Linked DNA regions of Neodiprion lecontei. The protein of the gene in region 1 interacts with the protein of each later gene in a pairwise test. Links are inferred from orthologs where the notes say so. Each region holds a gene or a part of one and is shown on either strand. Other genes may lie near its edges. The genes, in order: DNA repair and recombination protein RAD54-like, translation elongation factor 2, DNA repair protein RAD51 homolog A and 26S proteasome non-ATPase regulatory subunit 7.

Evidence for each region.
Region 2: the proteins of DNA repair and recombination protein RAD54-like (region 1) and translation elongation factor 2 interact in a two-hybrid assay, tested with the Caenorhabditis elegans proteins (2 studies listed by BioGRID). The link is inferred for Neodiprion lecontei from reciprocal best matches to the Caenorhabditis elegans genes rad-54.L and eef-2.
Region 3: the proteins of DNA repair and recombination protein RAD54-like (region 1) and DNA repair protein RAD51 homolog A interact in a two-hybrid assay, tested with the Caenorhabditis elegans proteins (3 studies listed by BioGRID). The link is inferred for Neodiprion lecontei from reciprocal best matches to the Caenorhabditis elegans genes rad-54.L and rad-51.
Region 4: the proteins of DNA repair and recombination protein RAD54-like (region 1) and 26S proteasome non-ATPase regulatory subunit 7 interact in a two-hybrid assay, tested with the Caenorhabditis elegans proteins (2 studies listed by BioGRID). The link is inferred for Neodiprion lecontei from reciprocal best matches to the Caenorhabditis elegans genes rad-54.L and rpn-8.

The regions. Positions count from the first base shown.
Region 1 is NC_060260.1:23,067,542-23,075,034, forward strand, and holds DNA repair and recombination protein RAD54-like, read right to left. Parts: upstream 5,760-7,493; 5' UTR 5,640-5,759; coding exon 5,637-5,639; intron 5,269-5,636; exon of another isoform or gene 5,246-5,268; intron 4,952-5,245; coding exon 4,769-4,951; intron 4,617-4,768; coding exon 4,426-4,616; intron 4,086-4,425; coding exon 3,883-4,085; intron 3,802-3,882; coding exon 3,618-3,801; intron 3,411-3,617; coding exon 3,152-3,410; intron 2,962-3,151; coding exon 2,700-2,961; intron 2,545-2,699; coding exon 2,379-2,544; intron 2,287-2,378; coding exon 1,881-2,286; intron 1,793-1,880; coding exon 1,629-1,792; intron 1,499-1,628; coding exon 1,297-1,498; 3' UTR 513-1,296; downstream 1-512.
Region 2 is NC_060260.1:38,939,524-38,944,566, reverse strand, and holds the start of translation elongation factor 2, read right to left. Parts: upstream 3,020-5,043; 5' UTR 2,868-3,019; coding exon 2,865-2,867; intron 1,763-2,864; coding exon 1,548-1,762; intron 1,418-1,547; coding exon 1,224-1,417; intron 921-1,223; coding exon 712-920; intron 600-711; coding exon 366-599; intron 84-365; coding exon 1-83. UniProt on the Caenorhabditis elegans protein: Catalyzes the GTP-dependent ribosomal translocation step during translation elongation.
Region 3 is NC_060266.1:1,583,428-1,587,129, forward strand, and holds DNA repair protein RAD51 homolog A, read left to right. Parts: upstream 1-1,608; 5' UTR 1,609-1,738; coding exon 1,739-1,834; intron 1,835-2,001; coding exon 2,002-2,937; 3' UTR 2,938-3,185; downstream 3,186-3,702. Other genes in the region: N-acylneuraminate-9-phosphatase, read right to left, coding at 1,153-1,284.
Region 4 is NC_060261.1:13,991,578-13,997,121, reverse strand, and holds 26S proteasome non-ATPase regulatory subunit 7, read right to left. Parts: upstream 3,536-5,544; 5' UTR 3,408-3,535; coding exon 3,233-3,407; intron 3,090-3,232; coding exon 2,997-3,089; intron 2,432-2,996; coding exon 2,253-2,431; intron 1,882-2,252; coding exon 1,678-1,881; intron 1,590-1,677; coding exon 1,284-1,589; 3' UTR 525-1,283; downstream 1-524. Other genes in the region: protein artichoke, read left to right, coding at 1-207; inosine triphosphate pyrophosphatase, read left to right, coding at 4,209-4,778.

The DNA.
Region 1 (7,493 bases):
GTGGGGTAAGATGCCGAAAACAAAAAGCATCTAGAAAACAAAACTTCCTATTTTCATAACAAGATGTGCGCTGAGAAGTCGAACGTGGAGTATTTTCAAATAAACTCATTTAATAATAAAGTTGCTGTTGCTATGAAGTTAGTGTCAAGTGATTGACAGCTGTCATCGGCTGTTTATGACAGTCTTTGACAAATATCTTTATAGTTATCTGTTTCTGACTCACAAAAAATAAATATGCAAATGAGAATTATTAAGATGATTCCCGACGGGAATTGTCGTTTTCGCGCGCTGGCGTATTGTGTACACGGCACTCAAGATCGACACGCAGAGGTGAGACAGAGTATCGTTTCGAATACAGTTGATGATTGGTCTACATTTGCGGCTTTTATTACAGGTAATGACTCAAACGGTGCCGTGATTATGTCACCTGGTCACAAATCACACATGAATAAAAATGGAATTTACGGGGGAGAAGCAGAATTAGCTGCAGCTGCGGACATTTTTAAGACATGTTTAATCGTGTATCGCGGAAAACAAATTAATCCACACCAAATCGGATCCCAAGATGAAAGACAATTCTCGCCACTCTTCACCGGCGACGGAGACAGTGGACAAAACCAGTACAAATCAGCATAAATGAATTCACCTGTCTAATAGACAATGTATAAGGAAATAGTGGGGCGCGAAGCGCGCAGGGGCGAAGCCCCTAGTATACAATAAAAATGTACATATAAATTAATTGAAACATGAAAGCTATCCATTTGTATAACTAAGAACTTATACGACATTTTATGAAACAGTTTATTTAATTTTTAATACTATTCTCATTCTTTGTTGTCACGGAATGACGATTTTACTATAAAAATCATTTCGGAGAATTATTCACACCTGAGCTCCACATTATTCTAAACTTATATTATAATACATCACAATTACTTTTGTTATCGAATATCAAAGAATACGAAACATTTCTACAAACTGAACTTCGAATCATTATTATTATTATTATTATTATTATTATTATTATCTTTCGCTGAGTGAAAACTGTTTATAAACGAAAAAAAGTATTTTATAAAACAAATTGATGTTTTCGTGACCGCCTTTAGGGATCTGTTTTATGCCATTACAAAATCGATGAATGGAAAAAATAAGAGACAGGAATGACAGACATCATATTAACGTATTTAACAGGAACTAGTTGCAACTAGATACAAAGCTGATTGCAATTATTTTCGTACTCCTCTTAAAGTACGCTTCAATTATTAAAATGACGTTCTACTATAGTCTGTATACATTTCATTCTTCGGCTTTAACGAGTTCGTGTGACCGATGATGGAATACAAAGGATATGCCACTAGCCCAGCACTGCCGAAGTGGCAGATCGGGTAAATGACGAGGATTGTTGGCATGTCTCCAATCCGACAAGTCAGAATTGCAGTCTGTTCCTTCGGGTGGGCCGCGAACCTCCACTCCATTTACGCACCTCTTGCACTTGAATCTACATAAACAATAAAAATGAATATAAATCATAATATCGTGACAACAGTGCTTGTCTTTATACTTTGGGATTATAAGAAATCGAGCATGGTCAATGATAATGTTGATAATGGTGAAAGTTTAATACGAACTTTGAATGGGTATCAGATGTGGTGTTTTCTTCCAACGTGAATAGATCGCGCAAGTCGCTTAAAGTAAAGTGCCTCGCCACATCATCTTCTTGGTCAACTACAGTCGAACTTAATGCTTTCTTGTGGGCCTGTCTTTGGAATATCTTTTCTTCTATTGTACCAGTCTGAAAATTCAAATATTGTATTTGTTTGCAAATAATTAAGACTAAAAAGGCTAATATTCCATCACTGTGAGAATGTATTATTATTTACACAAAGCAAGCGATAAATGAAGCAAGGCTTTTTTTGTCCGTCTCTCCAAACTCTGGCCATAGCTTGGTCATCGTTGGCGGGATTCCAGTCAGGATCAAACATAACTAGTCGGTTTGCGCCAATCAAATTAAGCCCACATCCGCCTGCCTTAGAACTCAGCATGAATATAAAATCGCCGCTGTTTGGATCATTGAAACTATCTACGACTTTGGATCTCTTTTTTATAGTCATCGATCCATCAAGCCTAACATAACGATATGTACGCTTTCGACATAACTTTTCAAATAAGTCCAAGGTCTGTGTATAATTTGATACCAACACAACCTTATCCGTTGTAGTTGACTTTACCAACGCCAGTAAACAATCCAAGACCATCAATTTACCAGACAGCTCTGGCAAGACATCTCTGAAAGTTAAATAAAAATGGTAATGCACAAGCATACAAGATAGCCGCAAGTAATAATTAACAAACATTTTACAAAACACTACTGTATTTACTTTAAACTATAGTTTGGAGGTAGAAGTTCTGCAGCATTTTCGAATCCTTCAGACTTTTCCAGAATTTTTTCGTACACCAGATCAGGATGATTACAAAGTTTTTTGAGTAGTGTAATAGCGGACAATGCTGAAAGACTACCTTTCTTGCCAGTGCCAAATTCATCACCTAAGTAATAAAATTTTGATAGTAAAGAGACTTAGAAAAAAGAAACAATATTATTCAGTGTAATTAGCACGAAACAGGTTGCTGAACAATTAAAAGAACATAAAACATACAGAAGTGGCTGACAGCAGATATAATGATTTGCACCTTCTACTTGCCTTGCATAGATTTTCTGATACTGTCGCTTTTGATGAAATTTTGATACAACTGAGTTTGCAATTTGTTAAGTTTAACGCAAATGACCATTTCATGTTTCACAGGTAAATACTTTGACAATAGCGCACTTGTACGTCTTATCAAGCATTTGTTTACTATTGTTACCAGCTCTTGAAGACATTCTTGCGCTCTTTGGCGCTCCGAGTCAGTTGCTCCAGCATCTTGACCTTTCAGGATCGGGATTTCAAATTTCCGACGGAATTCCTAAATAAAAATTCATGTAACCTAGTAAAGAAATAACATTTTTTGCCAAGTCTATTGGGTCTTCAATTCATACTCATTATAAGAAATATATTATGCCTGTGCTAAGTTTTAACAAATTAGCTCTTGAGTTTACCAACTAAAAGTAAAACTGACGTGTTTGATGTGAAGATAGTAAAATGTATCAGTGTACCTGGGCAGTTCCAAGAAGTCCTTGATTCACAAAATGAACCAGTGAGAAGTACTCGAGTAGGTCATTTTGAATGGGTGTTCCACTGAGTAATACACGTCTTTTTGCTTTTAAACCCATAAGTGCCTGATAAGTTTGATTTTCACTGTTTTTCAAACGATGACCTTCATCACACAATACTAAACCAACGTCATCCTGATGTAAAACGTGAGCGTGCAAACGAAACGTTTCATAGCTGATTATCAAAATTGGGTTTGCACATCTGTATAGAATGAGTTCAAATTTTCATTTTAGATATTCATAAAAAAAAATTTGTCACAAGTTTCGAAGTAGTTCTTTGACCAATCACAAAATTAAAATGTGTTAGCATTGAGTGAAGGACAAAAATACTTTTAACAATTACAATACGAACTTGATTTAATAATTTGAGGGCGTTTTTTAAATAAAAGAAAAGTTTGTATAAGCATACCTACGTCCATAGGTCTTCATAAATCCTTTTAATTTGTTGTCAATGTCTGTTTTACTCCCACCATCAATGGCCAAGGGATTCACTCGTCTGCCAAGCCACTTATGTATTTCGTTATACCAATTTTTTACTAGAGAACTAGGCGCCACTATCACAGCTTTTTCAATAAGTGGTTTAGCTTCTGGTCCTTCAAAAATATAAATACTTTGTGCAGTTCATGGTGCTTACATGTACCAAAGTGGTAATTTTCTAACTGATATTGTTATACCTTGTTTCAGCAAAGTCCACAACAATGTAATACACTGCAGAGTCTTACCAAGACCCATTTCATCAGCCATTATACAGCCATAAGCATTTTCGATCCGTTTCCCGGTTACACACTCATACATAAATTTAACACCTTCTCTTTGATGAGGTCGCAATATATTACACAGAGCTGGGTCAACTACTACGTGAACAAGTTGTTTGGTCCTGCATGGCAAAACAGAAAATTAACTACGTTTTATTAATTCAACTCGAATATGGTAGTTATTTCCAAGAAGTATGTGTATGGAGTAGTATACTAACAATCATCCATATAAAAATAAAACAAAGTATGTTCAAATGAACTCACACATTAATTTGCTTGTCACGCTAATTACTGACTTGATGTAATACATCAACTAGTATTTGTTTAGATGGTCCAAAGATATGACAATATAACTTCAGTTTTAAAAACCAGACATAATTTGAATTAAACAATACTTCTCAACCTGAGTTATTTAATAAATGTACCAATTGAGGTGGTATAAATGCAAAACAAATTGCATACGTGTCTAGTTTCAGTTTGTCGTGTTCAGATAATTCAGGTGGTGTGTAAACAACCAATGCATTAGCCTCATCAGGATCGTGGAGCGGTGTTCGAGGTCCCAACATACGCATACCAAGAGATCTGTTAGAGAGTTGATAACCAGGAATTGGAATTTTAAACGGCCGGTTCAATAACTTTCGTATTCTCTCCTCCTGTAAATACAAATATATTTGGTCCGTCGCTCTTAACACAAGCATTATAAATTCCATGTAACAATCATAATTTTGATTAAGGTAACTTCAATGCGGGAAAATTTATAGATTGAAATAGGTTTCATTCCAAAACTTAAATGAATTTAGCTTACATGTTCGGATAATGATTCTGGAGTAACGGCAATTGACAGTTGTACGAGTGGCTTACGTGAGATTTTAATTTCTTTCAACTCGGTCTTCAACCGTTTCTCTCTTTGTGGTATGGTGGAGCGTGGCTGGAGAGGAGAAAACTCTCCAGGTCGTTTGCCTTTTTGGCTTGGAGCGCTTGATCTCATCTTTAATATAAATCCTACATTTAATTCACTATATCTTTGAACATAGTGATAGAGAATAACTCAATCATACAAGATACTAATTATTTGCAAATAGAAAATGGTAAACATAAATTGCATGATTGTTGAATGTCTGGAGTCACAGATACAAAATAAGCAAATCCATATTATATAATCGTAGAAATTTTGGCATTGACATCTTCAACTAGGAAAAAAATGTTCACAATTTTCCACTTTATACACCTAACACATCACATTTGAATTTTGTTCAATCTTGTTGAGAAAGCGACAGCATACCCACAACAAAATTTTCAGAGCTTATAGAACATACTCGTGAGTATTCTACGAGTTTCTTCTAATGTATAAAAAAGAATTTTATTTTTCATTTCATTTCTTTCATGAGAAGTTGAAAACAGCCTAGACTTGATGAGATTTTTTTCTAACAACCTGTGAGAATTGGCAATTTATTTTTGACCTTATACACTTGCATCTGTCGATTATATGTAACCAGAGTTGTGAACATGCAGACAAATTTTTACATTCATAAACTTTAATTTGGAAATGTTCAAAGATTAACATGAAAAAAATTGAGGTTAGATTTTTGGAAAGCAAATTATCGTATGTTTACCAAAGTGAAAAACCGTCTTTCTTCTGAAAAACTTATTATAAGATTATTGCTGTCACTCACCATTTTTCTTGATTTTTATATCACTCGAGCATTGTAAAGTACCAATCAGAAATACAATTACAATTATAGGACAGCCACAATTCGAATATGTATTTATATTTGAAATTCTACAAATTGGCGCGACCATAAACACAAACTTATGAACATCAACCACGGTCTTACACACAGGTTTGGTAACTCCGGCACTTTTGAGTGGTAGGGGGTGTCACCGTTAGTGAGGCACGCGGTCTTGTTTCCTATCTACCCGCTAGGGGCGCCATTGGCCCGGGGTATGATACATATAGATATATACCGATAGTTTTGAGACAGTTTGACACACACTTTACACCGAGTTATGAACTCTCAAAAACTTCGATGAGCAGGTAATCTTACCGGTAATACCGATGTCGTGTATACAGGTCTAGGCATGGTCGTGTATACAGGTCTGGGAACTCCGTCCAAAAACCTGTGCCTCTAACTGAGGCCGATATTTCCAAATTTCGCCACGTCGATAGTGACGGAGGGGCATGCGCGCACTACAGCCCCGCTAATCACACACGTGCCCCCGAGATTGCAGCGCTCCGCACTTTTGCGGCTAATGTCGGAAACATGTGTCTCAGATAGAGGCACACTGTGGGGTATACGAAATATATGGGAGTGCCCAGACCTGTATACACGACCGTGAACCAGAGCGAGAGCACGAGATCTTATTGTTAGAGGTTATACGAATGATAGCGACGAGAGGCTGTCGTCGTGGTTTCTCAGCTTCTCCTGTCGACTGCTTCGCCGGCTATTGGTACATAAAATACGAGTAGAAAGGAAACAAAAGTCGAAAAAATAAAGTTAGCCACGGTGCATGCATCAATGGACATTACTTTACGTACTACGGCCTTTATCAAAAGATACTCATAGTTATAATCTACTGTTATTCCGCATCAAAGGAAGTTGAAGCATGTATAGTTAGACCTTGCACCGTTACACATTCATTTAATTTTGAAAAGTGAGCATTGACAATATTATTGTTACGTTTCCGAAAGGTGGAGTTGAAAATGTTGAAGAGGTTGTTCGAAAAGAGATACGTGATTTGTAGCTACCTACAATAAAAAGAGTACCGAAAACGGTAATCGAAGATAGTGTAGCAAGAAGATAACTCGAGAATTTCCATGCGCGTATTTATAATTAAACATGCAGATCACTGTGCCACAAACCATAATCATCCTTATCATATGAAAATATTTTTTTGGAATATTTAGCGTTACAAGTGCGCATCATAGATTTTTATTATTGTTAAGTGAAAGGCGTGTTAGCCCAAAAAGTACAGACACGCGGCATTAGGCGTTGATATACGTGTCAAAAAAAGTAGATGATTGGTTGCAAAATCTGCCAAAAGCATAAAGACGAAGTGCTATATACATAACCTTAGGCCGAATATGAAATATGTTATATTAGATAGTTATTATTGTACGTCGTAATGGGGTTTATAAGCTCTGGCCTGCATGCACGTGCAATAGCCCACTGCAGGAAGCGATACCTATAGTACAATATTATATTGTTATTATCTGATGTAACCATTATTGAAATAAATCAATGAACAAATTGATTCTTTCGTATTTTCTCCGTATCTTCTGAGCTGTTTGTGTTACGATCTCTGATCTCCTTTTTTTTGGTATGCTCGGGGTTTAATTGGTGGGTCATTAGAATCGATTTAAAGGAAAATGTTTTTTACCCCAAGATGAAAGAAATAACAACACCAACAGCAGCAGCAGCAGCAGCAGCACTAGCTACTACTAGCTACACTAGCTACTACTAGCTACTACTAGCCGGACCCGAATCCAAAGCACTTACCAGCAATGCAGCACCTGAACGGCGTGACCCGTC
Region 2 (5,043 bases), about 16 Mb from region 1:
TCTTCAGGCTTCAAAGTGATGCCCAACTTTTGCAATAGACTCTCAGCTTCGTCTTTCTTGTAGTTCATGATGCAGTCGAATACCTGAAAAAAAAAAAAAAACATATTTCATAAGTAAACATGTACTTCGTGTAACGAATACTAAAATAGCCATAGAACTGAATCACACTGACATACTCTATTATACTTGCAGTTTGTTAGTCACTTTAGACTACACAAAAGAATAAAAATGCATTCTAAATGTGCATAACACTCTAGAAATACCAATTGATAGTACAGTGAAAACTTTGTTGTTTCAATGCATTGTCTTTCGTTCAGTAATCAATAAACTTGAGACACAATATACATAATATGTTTTAGAAATACCTTGTAGATGGGATCAAGGACATACATGCAGAAGGACCGCTTGTTGTCAGCTTCCTTTTGCTTGCTCCACTTCTTGGTCTTTGGGTTGAAAAAGGATTCACCCCAGAGTCGATTCATCAGTTTCACAACATCAATCTTGAATTTCTCAGCATACATTTCGGAAAACTGTTTCAATGTAAATGCCCATCCATGGAGTCCAGACCCGAAGCCCACAGATCCCTTGCTAGGGTCAACCTTTAGAAAGGAAAAATTAATATTTTAATTGGTTCAATCTACAAATTATTAATTGACGGTGATGAATTGTGGAATTTGTTAGGGTATTTTTCACACAGCACGGATAACTTACACGAACTTCTCCCATGGGACCATCGTCGTCTGAGTAGGTGGCAATGATGACATTCACATTTTCAACAATACGCTGGAAAGTCTGGTACAAATCTTCACTTTCCAACTGCAGCTCAAGCAAAGCACGGTCCATTTTGTTCATGAACAATACAGGCTTGATACGTTCGGCAATAGCTTGACGAAGTACTGTTTCGGTCTGTACGCACACTCCTGCAGAAAAGTAGCCAATTGAAATCCAACACAACTTGGTCATTGTGATTTTTATCAAACACAATTCAAAGGAATTAATTTGTTTTGTAGGAACAAGGTCGTAGCATGCCAGTATCGGACATAAAGATAGAGGTCCACTGACAGCGTTTAAACAAAGTGACATATTTGATCTTCTTCCATAAATGCACTGCAAACACTGTCAAAGTGCACGGAACAGCTTTTCAAGAAAAATTGTTCGGCGCACTACAGAGTTGCCCTGGTGTGCTGGAAGGTGTACAGAAAATTATATACAATCCAGCTTACCAGAAACACAATCGACGACGACAAGAGCTCCGTCAGTAACACGCAGAGCAGCCGTTACCTCACTTGAGAAATCCACGTGCCCAGGAGAGTCAATCAAATTAATCAAGAATCCTTTCTCTTCTTTGTCACGTTGGTCTGGATTCGTGATGAAAACGCAGTCCTTCTCGTCAAGTTCAAAGTACATGGATATGGCACTAAAGAACAGTATTGTAAAATGAATGTAATATCAGTAGCAGATTTGAGCTATTCGAATTTTTAAATAAATCATTTTCTGTTATCAAATGCTGTAATAGCAATATTTGAAAAAATAAACTAAATACTCACGTTGATTTGATGGTAATGCAACGTTCCTGTTCATCTTTGCGAGTGTCTGTGAATCGGGTCTCACCAGCTTTAGCACCGGCAATAATACCGGCCTTAGAAACAAGGGAGTCAGTCAATGTTGACTTTCCGTGATCGACGTGGGCGATGACGGACATGTTTCGGATGTTTTTCTTTTTGTCCATCATCCCACGGATCTCGTCTACCGTGAAGTTCACCTAAAGTATAATCATAAATTTTCTTAAATACACATAAGCCAAGTTTATTTTTCAATTAATTTAAACTCTGCTAGTAATGATTGGCAACTTTGTTCAGGTAATTACAAAACAAAATGTTTCTCATAGCAATGTAAAGTTATGGTAGAAAAAATAAATTATGAAATTGAAAATAGCCTGTAGTCAGTGGACAATGAAGGAGTTTTCTTAGCCTGTTCATAAGCATGATTAGATAAATAGATATTTCCACAGTAAATAAAAACTAATTGGTTTAAAGGTCATACTGCAATCCTAACTGTTAGGATTAAAAATATTTTCCAGACAACCGTTAATTATCAACGGTTGCCTCCTTTGGTCAAATATTTGGAAAAGCTTGGATATCCCTAGTATGCTTTTGTCAGATATAATACATATTACGTAGTAAGATTCCAAACATATTGTTTAATTTGGAGACGGGTATCCTAATCTAAGATTAGTATCTGAATAGATATGATTAAGTTTGGTAGTTGGTCGTCCATTAAACAAATATACCCATATGTAGCTTCAGTTAAATTTTTTCCGCTTCTACTTTCATTTCTCTTCCGGAATATTGATACTCTCTCTTCCATATTGGTAAATTAATCGCCTAGAATTTCGAAAAGTAGGAGAGTCCGTGGGAAAAGCTATAATTAATAAAGCGTATAAGCAAGGCTCGGCCAATATTGTGAGAGCATGTAAACTCGAGAAAACTGGTGAATATGGCAAGAGGATCGTCATGTTGGCTTGTGACACGTTGTCGGGCAATGTCTGTGAGGGATGCGATCGACATATTCTACAGATTTGCATCGTTCAGTTCGGATTCGACATACGAAATTTGGAAGCATATAGCCGTTAAGAATATGGAAGAGGGTTCGGCGTAATTCTTATTAGGATAGGTCCTTGTCGAGAATGGTAATTCATTCTCAAGCAATGACGTTCGGAGGGTTGCGCAATCCAGAGCAATCCTGGAGTTTTTAATTTCTTTCATTACTCCCCGACGCTCGGGTGTAAAAAATAAACACGTTATTTCACTCTCCGATTCATGCGGAATTCGATTTATCCATTATCATGCTAAAATTCTACTTACCATTTTGGATGTTGTCCGATTTTCGTTAGCCTGGTCAGAAATATACGTGCGCCAACAACGGCGGACTCCCTGGGAAAGAATAGTCAAGCGGACTAGAGTGCAGTAAGAGGGCTATCTCTGTCACTATCTCTGTTCGTACGTCCTAGATGGCGCGCGCGTAGCAATACACACACTCTCCACACTAAATCCGACCAATCAGAGCTCTGATTTTCACGCATGCACAAAAAATATAACGGCGTCGGAAAACTGCTGCCACCTGACGGATGCTGACGCTGTGAAACAACCAAACCAATCTCTAAATGAGCTTGTATGCTATCATTGGAGGATTAGGGTTGCGTTATCCGCGATTAATTAACATAAGAAAAATAAATTAATGTTAGTTTTTTTTCTCACTAGTTTTATTATTCTTTTTTCAAACAACAACCGACTCTACCCAACCAAAAATATTCGTCTCACGTTTAATGCGTCACTCGTCGTCGCGTCGCAATTACTATCTTCCGGCTTTGCTTACATTGCATTTACTCGTCAATCTGCATGATCTGCGTGCAACACACCAGGTTTTGTAATATTGTGCAACAATATTCTTAACTCTATTTACTATGTTTGGTTTGCTTCGACGTACAGGATGATCTCAATGGAACCTGTATTCTTACGACTCTCTTATATAGTATAAACGTTTATCGTCTTCGATTAACATGATTACATATATTTGTCTGCAACGTATTATGTACTATTGTACTAGCATAAATATTCAAATTCTGATATTAGTTGTAAGTATATAATCGCATTAGTGAACTGAAATGAATGTAATATGCATCTCATCTTCATTTCCTTCTTGTTTTTACTCCTACAGAACGTCTGATCCTCTTTTTGTAGTAGGAGCCATTGCAGTGCGGTTCGTGTTTGAGCAAAGCGTCATTTCTGAAGGTTCTTCCACAAGTTCGACAAGGCTTCAACGAATTAAGATGATTTTCCCATATCCTATGAAATGTTGCGATAAAATCGCAATCACCTTCGGCTGAAAATAAAAATATTCATCTGTAGCCTACACAAAATAACGTCAGGAATTCTTAAAGAAATAACAAATAGTTATTCAAACAAATTATTTTTTTTCTGCAAAGATATATGTTATATATTTTTTCAAATCAATACATTATGCGTGTATACATAAGCGGTTAATAAATATTCATATAATTGTGATTGAATTTAAAAAATCAGAGGTAAAACAAAATATCTTAAACACATTCAAAAGGTGGAAATAGTAAAGATTTATTCCCGTCGAGTTTTGCGAATTCGCATGATTGCGCACGCATACAATATACACTTTACGTGAAGTTACTATTGCTGTTTATCCTCTTACGTTAATGATTTTTCAATTTTTTTTTCCTCGTTATTTTTTTTTTTTTAATATTGCTTCTCCTTTTTCACCGTGCACAGTTGTGTGTATTAAGGGAGCTTTCCAGTGTGAAATTTTCAAAAAATCGATTTTTTTTTTTTGCTATATCGAATAGTATACACTCTACCGAATATTCCCCGAAATTTTCATGCCGAAATTCAGATTATTTCGGTTACTGTAAAGCATTTCTTGGAAGAAGGCAACGGAGCGCTACAGCTGCCCGTGCGACCGTTATTTCTATTGTCTCGTTCCTACCTGCACGTACATGAACTTGGCTCGCCAATTGTCGAAAATGTGAATTCGGACTATTGCATAATTTGCCGTTAATTAGCCGTAAATTAGTCGCGCGACTTATTTTTTTGTCGCACTCAATTTTCAAAAAAAAAAAGCGATGTCCGGGCGCGAACACTCAAAACAATAACGAGAGCTTCAATCACTGTGTGTGGCAACTAGCCCCAAAGCACGTATTCTGCGGCAAGCAGATAGTAGAAATCGCTACGCAGTGTGCTTTGTGCACCTTCAATGAAGGTTACGACCCAATTTTAAAAATTTTGGACACGATGGGATGCACGATAGGGCCGAGTGCCGCAGATTTCGCCGCTAAGTACAAGAATGCGCGCATCACCCAAGCAAACCGCCGGGCATCCCTGGCTAGCAAAGAGGCGAGGACAGCTCGTCGGACTGAACAATCCATTGAGCACGATCTTTTCGAAGAAGCAGAAGGGATATTGTATGGACCTGGCATCGCTGATTGACCGTAAGTAAACGATTTACCTAAAATTT
Region 3 (3,702 bases), on another chromosome or scaffold:
GTTTAATATTAAAAGGTTACACATCAAACTGACGAGTAACTGCGAGGATAATGGATAAGACGGATAGAATTCTGCACTAAAGTGTGTAGAATGTGTAGAATAAGCTTTCATAGGTCAAGTTGACCAGAGTTCGTACGCTTTTTGGAATCTAAAAGTCCCCGATGTTTCTAAGCGTTTCAGCCTGGAAATAGGATTTATCCAGTAGCCTTCAAAGAAATATGCCGCTAATTTTTTTACATTAATACTAATATCTTCGATATTACTTAATAACTAACTTACTATCTAACAATTTACAAACGACAGCCTGCGATTTTCCGTAAGAAAAAAATCGAAAGAATGTTTGGTATTAAGTAATATACATAGAATGTATGAAGTGGTGCGACGAAACAAAATTTTACGTGCAATTTTTTTTATTAAGATCGACAGTACTTTGTATATAAGAACGAGTTTACTTGTTCGACAAACTCAAAATTTCAGTCTTACTTTAAAATTCTTGTGAGTTTACCCTGTGCGTGCGAACCCTGTTGACACTATGATTCTGGGCAATGGATTGAAATAATTAAATGTAGAGAGTTTAATCAGTGGTGTTTGTAAATCGAGTTACAAATTGCTACGCTATAACGAGCATCTAAACTTCAGCTGACGCAGATCAATGCGAATGTTTTTTAGCGACGAGAAGCGAGCACTGCTGCCAACGTAATTGGATCATCGAAAATTTTCGGTGCTTCAATCGAATCGAATAAAACGCGCACATCCGCGTCGCGATGCCGTGACGTCACGTGCCCTTCGAAAGTAGCTCGCACAGTGCGAAACATACGTTGGCGGTATTTTTCCAGAGATAGCTCGCCCCGCTCGCCGCCTCATTCGTTCGTTCGCAACGCGAATAGCGAACTAGTTGAAAGCGAGCGAGAGAATGAGAAGCAAACGGGTGTCTATGTACGGATTATTTTCTTCGATCCGTAATTTTTTCTTCTCTTTTCATTTTTGTCTGGCCCGTTTCCCCCGTTTCCCTCTCATTTTATTCGTTGCGGCGACGAGATATACGACATACACGCACACACGCACTGCAGGTAGCAATGAATCGGTGAAAATAAACGAAAGCAAGATGAACGCGTGACCGACGTCTTGGCTGATTTATTTTTCAGCACGTACCTTTCTACACGCTAAACTATCCCCCTTTCTAGTCTCGATCAACGTGTTGTCCAGGTCGAATAGAACTGTGGTTATAGCCGCAGCTGCTGCCGTTGTTGTCGTCGTTGAGTTTTTCCTTCCAAGAGCTGCCATCCTGTCTATGTATCGCTACCTTCTAGCTCGTACTAATTCCGCGCTGTTTGGCTCTGCTTTGACTTCTCTAATGCTCGGCAGACTCTTATGTGACAACATGAGCTTGTATTAATGAATTAACGACCTGCTGCTTCGTCGTTTGGCCACCCAACCAGTGGCAGGTACTGTACAACCAAGGCGGAGGAGTGGGGCAGCAGCGGTGGTTTTTTCACGTCTGACGTCACGGCTCTTGTGGTTTTTTTAATCGATGAGCATAGCAGTCTGATTTACCGGTCAAGTCGGTTGACTGAAACAGAACAACAACGTTATCGGACCGTCGGTAATTTTCAGTCGGTATACGTGTTACGTAAATATTATTACGGCGGGAAACAACGTTGTGACCCGACTCGAAATTTGACAGGATCGCGTAGAAGGTTCTTTTTTCGCTTCGTCCAGCAGGCGAAAAATTAATTCAATGTCGGTAACGGCTACGGCAACTACTGCGTCTATCCAGGGCGACGAGGATTTAGAAGAGTTTAATCCACAGGCGAAACTGATAAAGGCTATAGAAGTGAGTAATGAATGCGAAGAAGTGTGTTACCCAACCTAACCTAAATCGGCCCAACTGAGGATTAAGTGAACTCTCTCTAACCATAAAATATTCCCGCCTATTAGCTTGTTTTCTCACCGCTCGTCGGAACAAGTATCAAAGTGTAAAATGCATGTTTCTTTTTTCAGGGTAATGGCATTACGGCGGGTGATGTTAAAAAACTGCAGGAAGCGGGTTACTACACTGTCGAGTCAGTGGCGTACACGCCAAAGAAGCAGCTCACCACGATAAAAGGGCTGAGCGAGGCAAAGGTAGAGAAAATACTGGATGCTGCGTACAAGATGGTGGTGATGGGCTTTAAGACTGCAACCGAGATCCATCAGTACAGGGCGAACACTGTATATCTAACGACAGGATCCGCGGAACTGGACAGGCTCCTGGGTGGAGGGATTGAGACGGGTTCGATAACCGAGATATTCGGGGAATTCCGAACAGGCAAAACGCAGATATGTCATACGCTTGCGGTCAACTGCCAGTTGCCAGTGGACATGGGCGGTGGAGAAGGAAAGTGCCTTTACATCGATACGGAGGGCACGTTTCGTCCCGAGAGGATAATCGCAGTAGCTGAACGGTACAAGATCAGCTCCGAGTCTGTTTTGGACAATGTCGCCTGTGCTAGAGCCTTCAATACCGACCACCAGACACAGCTGCTCATTCAAGCTTCTGCGATGATGACAGAGTCTCGATACGCGCTGCTAATTGTCGACAGCGCCACAGGTCTCTATAGAACGGACTATTCGGGTAGGGGGGAATTGTCCGCCAGACAAATGCACCTTGCTAGGTTTCTAAGGATGCTTCTGAGAATTGCCGACGAGCACGGCGTAGCAGTCGTAATAACGAACCAGGTTGTAGCCCAGGTCGACGGCGCGGCCAGTATGTTTGGCGGCGATCAGAAGAAGCCCATCGGCGGTAACATCATCGCTCACGCCAGTACCACAAGATTGTACTTGAGGAAGGGCAGGGGCGAGACTAGAGTTTGCAAAATATATGACTCGCCCTGTCTTCCCGAGAGCGAAGCTATGTTTTCTATAAATTCGGACGGCATTGGGGACGCTAAAGAATAATTTTGATAACGAGTTGACAAAGTTTTGTGATACGATATACTATATAGGATAATATAACTCTAAGATAAAAGATTTAATATTTTTATATATGAGAACGTATTTCTATCGTAGATTGTAATGTTTAATTTATCAGTAATCGTTAAGCAATTTAATTACGATATATAAATAAATAAATGAATAATTCCCCTTGTGTAAAAATTGTTTGATGGGCAGTAATTTAAAATGTGTATTATCAATTAACAAAGAAAACGCAAATGATAATGAAATAAACTTTCTTTGCTTTTTTATAAATCATTTTCATTCGTTATTCCAGAGCCTTGAACATTTTTTAACATAATCATCTGAACTCCTTAGGCAATTTTATTTATTTATTTATACACGAATAAGCCGATGGAATTATGGACTTTAAAATTTTTTTTTAGTTCAAGATTTGAAAATCGAATTCGATTCTTACACACTTGGAATCGATGCTAGAAAAATTCGATTGGTAAATTATCGATACAAAAAAGAGAATTTTTTAGCCATCCTTAATTAATGTCCTTCATCCTGGTGAGTTGTTACCACTGAAATATATATACGTGATTGTTATAGGTATACCTCTCATGGGTGTAGTACACATGACACCCGTGCGTGACACAAGCAGCCGGCGAAAATTGCTGTTAGGTTAAGTTATCAATGACGCAATCGTGTCAGTTTTATCATCGCGCATAATTTTGATCCCAGCTCATCGTCGTTCGTTGGGAAGATAAAAAGTATACAACTGTT
Region 4 (5,544 bases), on another chromosome or scaffold:
ACGACACCAAAGTTGATGGAACAAATCAATGGCAACGACGATAATGTAAGAATAATAGAGGACAGTTCTTTCAATTGGTATTTTCAACACTACAATGACACAATCTTGGAACCCTATGTAGGATTAGTCGATAGTGGTGCTGACCACGTTAAAATTTTGATCACTCTCTCACCTGTGACTTATTTAATAATTTGTAGATTAATGTGAGCATAATATTGCGGAATATATTCTATCGGCAACTGCAGACTTTGGCCGGAATCCTGTTTTGACCTCACATTTATAATCTGACAAATTTTATATTTAGCATTGAAATACATATTCCGTGCGTGCAATTTATGAGTCAATCAATGGATCGCTTGGCTAAAGTAGCTAGATTGGTATGAGTCCGCTATAATGGTATCATTTTTTTCGGGGAGTTAAGTTCGCTGAGATTTGATTTTCACGACGGCTTTCTTAGCAAATATGAGACTAAGAAATGCGCATCACCTCGGATTCAGAGAAGGAAACGATAGAAAAATAATAAATTAGTCAAGAAAGTTACGTTTATTATAAAATACAATGTTAGTCAAGGTCCGTTTATGCTGCAGCGTAAAAACATGTTCCGTGAGAGCAAAACTGTAAATGATCTTTTTCGTGGGGCATGTATACTGGTTGTGAATCACAAAAGTACGGCTATATCGATGGTATCGTTCTATTTATTCTTGTTACAATACGGCTAAAAGTTGAAAAGAATGTTTGGAGGTTTTCAGAATCAGTGTATAAATTATTCGATAATGAAGTCACGTAATTCGCGGGTCAGGAGGAATATGTACACGAACTAAGCGCTTAATGAACATTTAGGTTTATTTCAAACCAGCAGTAACAAAACTACAATTAGTAAAATTTGAAACTTCTGCGTGAATTTAATAACGTTTGAGAATCTTGAGTTTCAAGTTACTCTCATATAGATACGAGTACATTTAATTCGAAAAACAAAAGAAAAAACACGTTCTGTTTACACTTTTTCGTAATCGCTGTTTTAAATACATCAAAGTCTAACGATGTAATATTAAGGCGTATTTCTGCGAGAAACTACAATTTTCCATCATCTCACTTTGATCACTTTCATTGTAACGAGGAAAGTAATAACATTATTATTGAAAATAGATTAAGTTGTGGTGTCATTCCGTCTAGGTCGTAAATGAGTTCGGCTTGGTTTAAAATAACATAGGCGACGAAATCAAATTACTCATTGCATCAGTGAAATAATTTATCAGTATTCAACACCATTTATTATGTATAAATCATTTAACTTTTGCCTTTTCCTTTTCATCTTTCTTCTCATCTTCTTTCTTTTCATCCTTTTTCGTCTCTTTCTTATCAGTCTCCTTTTTCTCTGCATCTCGATTCGTTAATTTGTTGTTTATCAAATTGTGCAGTGCTACGATTGACCTGACAAGAGCTGCTAAGTAAACTACCAGCATTTGATCATTTGTTTTGACATAGAGTGAATCGACAAACGTGTTTTGTGACATGTCAGGTAACAAGTTGAAGATATCCTGTAGCTGATAAACGATTTGATGATTGATCGGTAGTTTCCCATTGCCAACCTGTTATTTGCAATGAAGATATAATCGGGTGTTATTGGGTATGAGCTATACGTGAGAAATATGTAGTAGAAACATAGATCGATCGAACCTGGATAAGGTAGTCCTTAATTTCTCGAATTTGGGCATGAAGTCCTTTTAATCCAAGTAATTGGTTCGTTATTCTTTGACTGAGTGTACCGACGGTGGTATCTTTGATGTCCCTGAGCAAGTGTTCGACTCCAACTTCTTCAGCTTCCTCTGCTCCGATTTCACTCGGAATATGTTCAAAGGTTTTAGAAGTTGGTGATCCATCCTGATTCAAGCAAATAGTATGTATAATTGAGTCTTTCATCTACATTAGGCCGTTTACGTCAATTGAGCCACCTTTTTATCGTATGGTTAGCAAAATTTAATATATTCCACAGTGAATTGGTAATTGTATTAAGACTTTTGACAGTTCTGGTAAATGGTAATATAAATCATGGGGACGAAATACTTTGTTATTTCTGCTGCATGCACAGTAATGATAAGTTACCTTCTTTGAGTGTGCTATAAGAAAGTTTAGATCATAGAAAATTAGCCAGATCTACAGACAATGTTGGTTTAATTGATGCAGGAAAATCTATAAATGAACAAGATTTAAGAAAATCATAAATTGCGATGTATCTAGAGTAAGACGCTTACGTCATGGACTTCTTCAACAGCTTGATACGCTTCTGTGGGAAGACCTAAGTCCTTGGGTTTGGCATCGATGATTACCAGTACTGAGTTGGGACAATACCTACGGATTAATTCGTTGATCGCGACGTCGTTTTGATGTAATTTTGGTCCTGTATGATACCAGCCGACCACTTTTTCACGAGCTAAAATAAATTCAAATATTGTTAGGTACATGTTGTATAGCGATGCAGGGTTATCTTTTGAATGCATCATATAATCAATGGGGCACTAGTCGAATTGTTTTTAATCGAACAGACATCAATAACAAAAGAACGGCAATTCAAATAAGTTTCAGTATTTATGGAATTTTAGGCCCTTAGTGACTTGCGCAATCGATTATTCTTGCAAAGCCATGTCGGAATAGAATCAAACTTATTGACGAATTAGAATACAAGGAACTCAAAACCTGAAATCAAGATATCATAGCATCAACCGCTGAAAAAATATGGCAATATACTACCATTTTTTGCTGTTGCCAATTCATTGTCTAACAATAAGAGACTTTGACGGAGCTATCATTGCTTTCACAGTGAAAAACATACGTGGATATAATGTTTGAAGAGTCAGAAATTTATAGTAGTATTAGACTTGGCAGCGCTCGCTTTTTTCATCGGCGACTCTATTAACTTGCATCACTAGAGATTGGTGATAATTCTTTGTTGGGTCCAATCAAAAGGAATATGAATTATGTTCAATAAAAATCTTTACCATTAACTTTTTTGAACATGCTGTACATGTTTTCCAGGTAGTCATGGTCGAGGAACCACACTGATTTATCCTTGTCATCCTCGTCAAATGGGACTAGAAGTTGCAAAAATAAATGTATTGTATTATAAAAACTACTCAATAATGAGTTCAATAACAAGTTGCAGAGTATTTTGTTCACCTGCTTAAGCAGCCAGAGGTGGTAGAATAATATAAATAACTAAAGGATAGAATCTAACCTGCAAAACTGTTGGACACGTCTAATACTCCCTTGGCTCTCCAACAGCCCAATAATACGCCGACAACTCTTTTCTGGTTACCAATTTTTCCCATGCGATTAAAATGATCAACTACACTCAATAAAACTAGTGGATGAACCACTACTTTTGCTGTGGAGACCTCTTGACTCGGCATTTTTTGATCAGTTATTTCACAAACGTCGGAAATAGATTAGTTGCCGCTTATACTCAACAGTCAACACAGATCACAGATGACACAGGCTCTCAATTTCAACTTGGCTCTGCCGAGCTCTGCACACTGCAGTCTGCACAGTGTAAAGGTGGAATTTCATGAGCAGCAGAAAGCAGCAGCAGTTTAGTAACTTCCTAGATGTTACTAACAGCTGTCTAGTGATTTGACGCAGCAGCAGTGCTGCCAGAGATGAGTAGGGAGATTTCCAACGCTCGGCTTTTCGTGATACCAGCTAGGTTGAAGGTTTCTGGATGGAAATGTCCGTCGTTTGGTTCTATTCTAGGGAAAGTTGTGTTGCCTGTTTCATATTGGCAACAAGTGTGCCTTTTGCCTTACTCGTCGTACCAACCTATTCCACACTTTTTGGTTGAGACTGTAGTTGAGACATCCAAGAAAGTATTTGGTTTTTCTCAGTAAAGTAGCTGTTGAATATTCCATGGTTTAGTAAGAGAAAATAAAAAGAAATACGTGTAAGCTATGAGATACATGAATTTCTGTCACTAACCAATTCGTCACACGTTCGAAAACTGGTTTTTTATTATTATTACGTCATTTTACGGCCAACAGCGTTGCCAACAAAAGAGGACCACGTGTCAAAAGTTTATCCAAGCTAACCGACTTGCATATATTTTGTCCTTTGTTATTGTCTGATTAGCGAAATATTAGACGTACTAGGAAGATTTTGAATCAGATTTTAGGAGGAATACTTAATTTGTTTCAGGGCGCTAACCGTGAAGATTGAAAATGTCAAAGACGATAGTTTTCGTAACTGGAAATGCGAAGAAGCTTGAAGAAGTGATAGCAATTTTAGGAAAGAATTTTCCGAGAGACATCACAAGCAGGAAGATTGATCTACCTGAATATCAAGGAGAAATCGATGACATATGCAAGGATAAGTGCAGAGCTGCAGCGCGAATAGTTAATGGCCCAGTTGTGGTAGAAGATACTTCTTTGTGTTTCAATGCAATGAACGGTCTCCCCGGGCCATATATTAAGTGGTTTATGGAAAAGTTGGGTGTTGATGGTCTCCCCAAAATGCTAGCTGCTTGGAATGACAAATCAGCTCAAGCAGTGTGTACTTTTGGATACTGTGACGGTGATCCCGATGGCGATGTTAGTATTTTTAGAGGTATTACTGATGGGGTTATAGTCAATCCACGAGGGACGAGGGAGTTTGGGTGGGACGCATGCTTCCAGCCAGTCGGATACGACAAGACTTATGCGGAATTGCCCAAGGACATTAAGAACCAGATTTCACACCGTAGCAAAGCTTTAACAGAAATGAAAAATTATTTTTGTAATAATTTAGTGTAATAAATTATATATTACATAATGATGAGCATGTGTTTCTCTTTTTTCATTAGATGTTTGCTGTAATTCATTCTTTAGTTTCTCAGAAAACGTATGAACTACCAATGCTTAAGAGGATTAATGAGTTTAACGCTCAAATTTCAGCCGGAAACTGACAACAGTGACGGTTATTGGTGTTCCATGGAATCTCATTGACTGTCTTTCAAAGTATAAAGATTATTGTGGTTTGGGACGGTTTATATAACAGCTTCAAAATTCGAATATTCAGTAACATTCAATGATCCTTAGTCACATAATGAGATTACAATGGAATACATACAATACGTAAGTAAAATATGAGTAAGTTGGTTGTGGAGTGTTATTACCACAGAGTGACTACGCTGGAAAAACATGTGATTACTATTTATAAATTAATATAAATATCGTTGGTGATAAAATATGTTTATGCTGAAAAACTGCACATTTATGGGAAGTAGGTTGTATTGTGTATCTGTCTACCAGGGGTCAAGTTCAACGGTGATAATGTAGTCATAAATTTAGTGCCAGGAAAACAGGCAATTAAACATCAGGCTAACATATTGTATCAGGCTGAAATTTGTAACGTTAATGTAGCGATGTATGTTTGAAAAAAATCGTTATTGTGCAACTTTAGGATTACTTGAAATTTAGTAAACCATTACTGCAGCATTAACAAACTTATAAGGAAAGGTATTGAGGTGCCGGTGCCCCCTCCCCCCCCCCCCACCGAGCCCCCGATTTCCTTCATTTT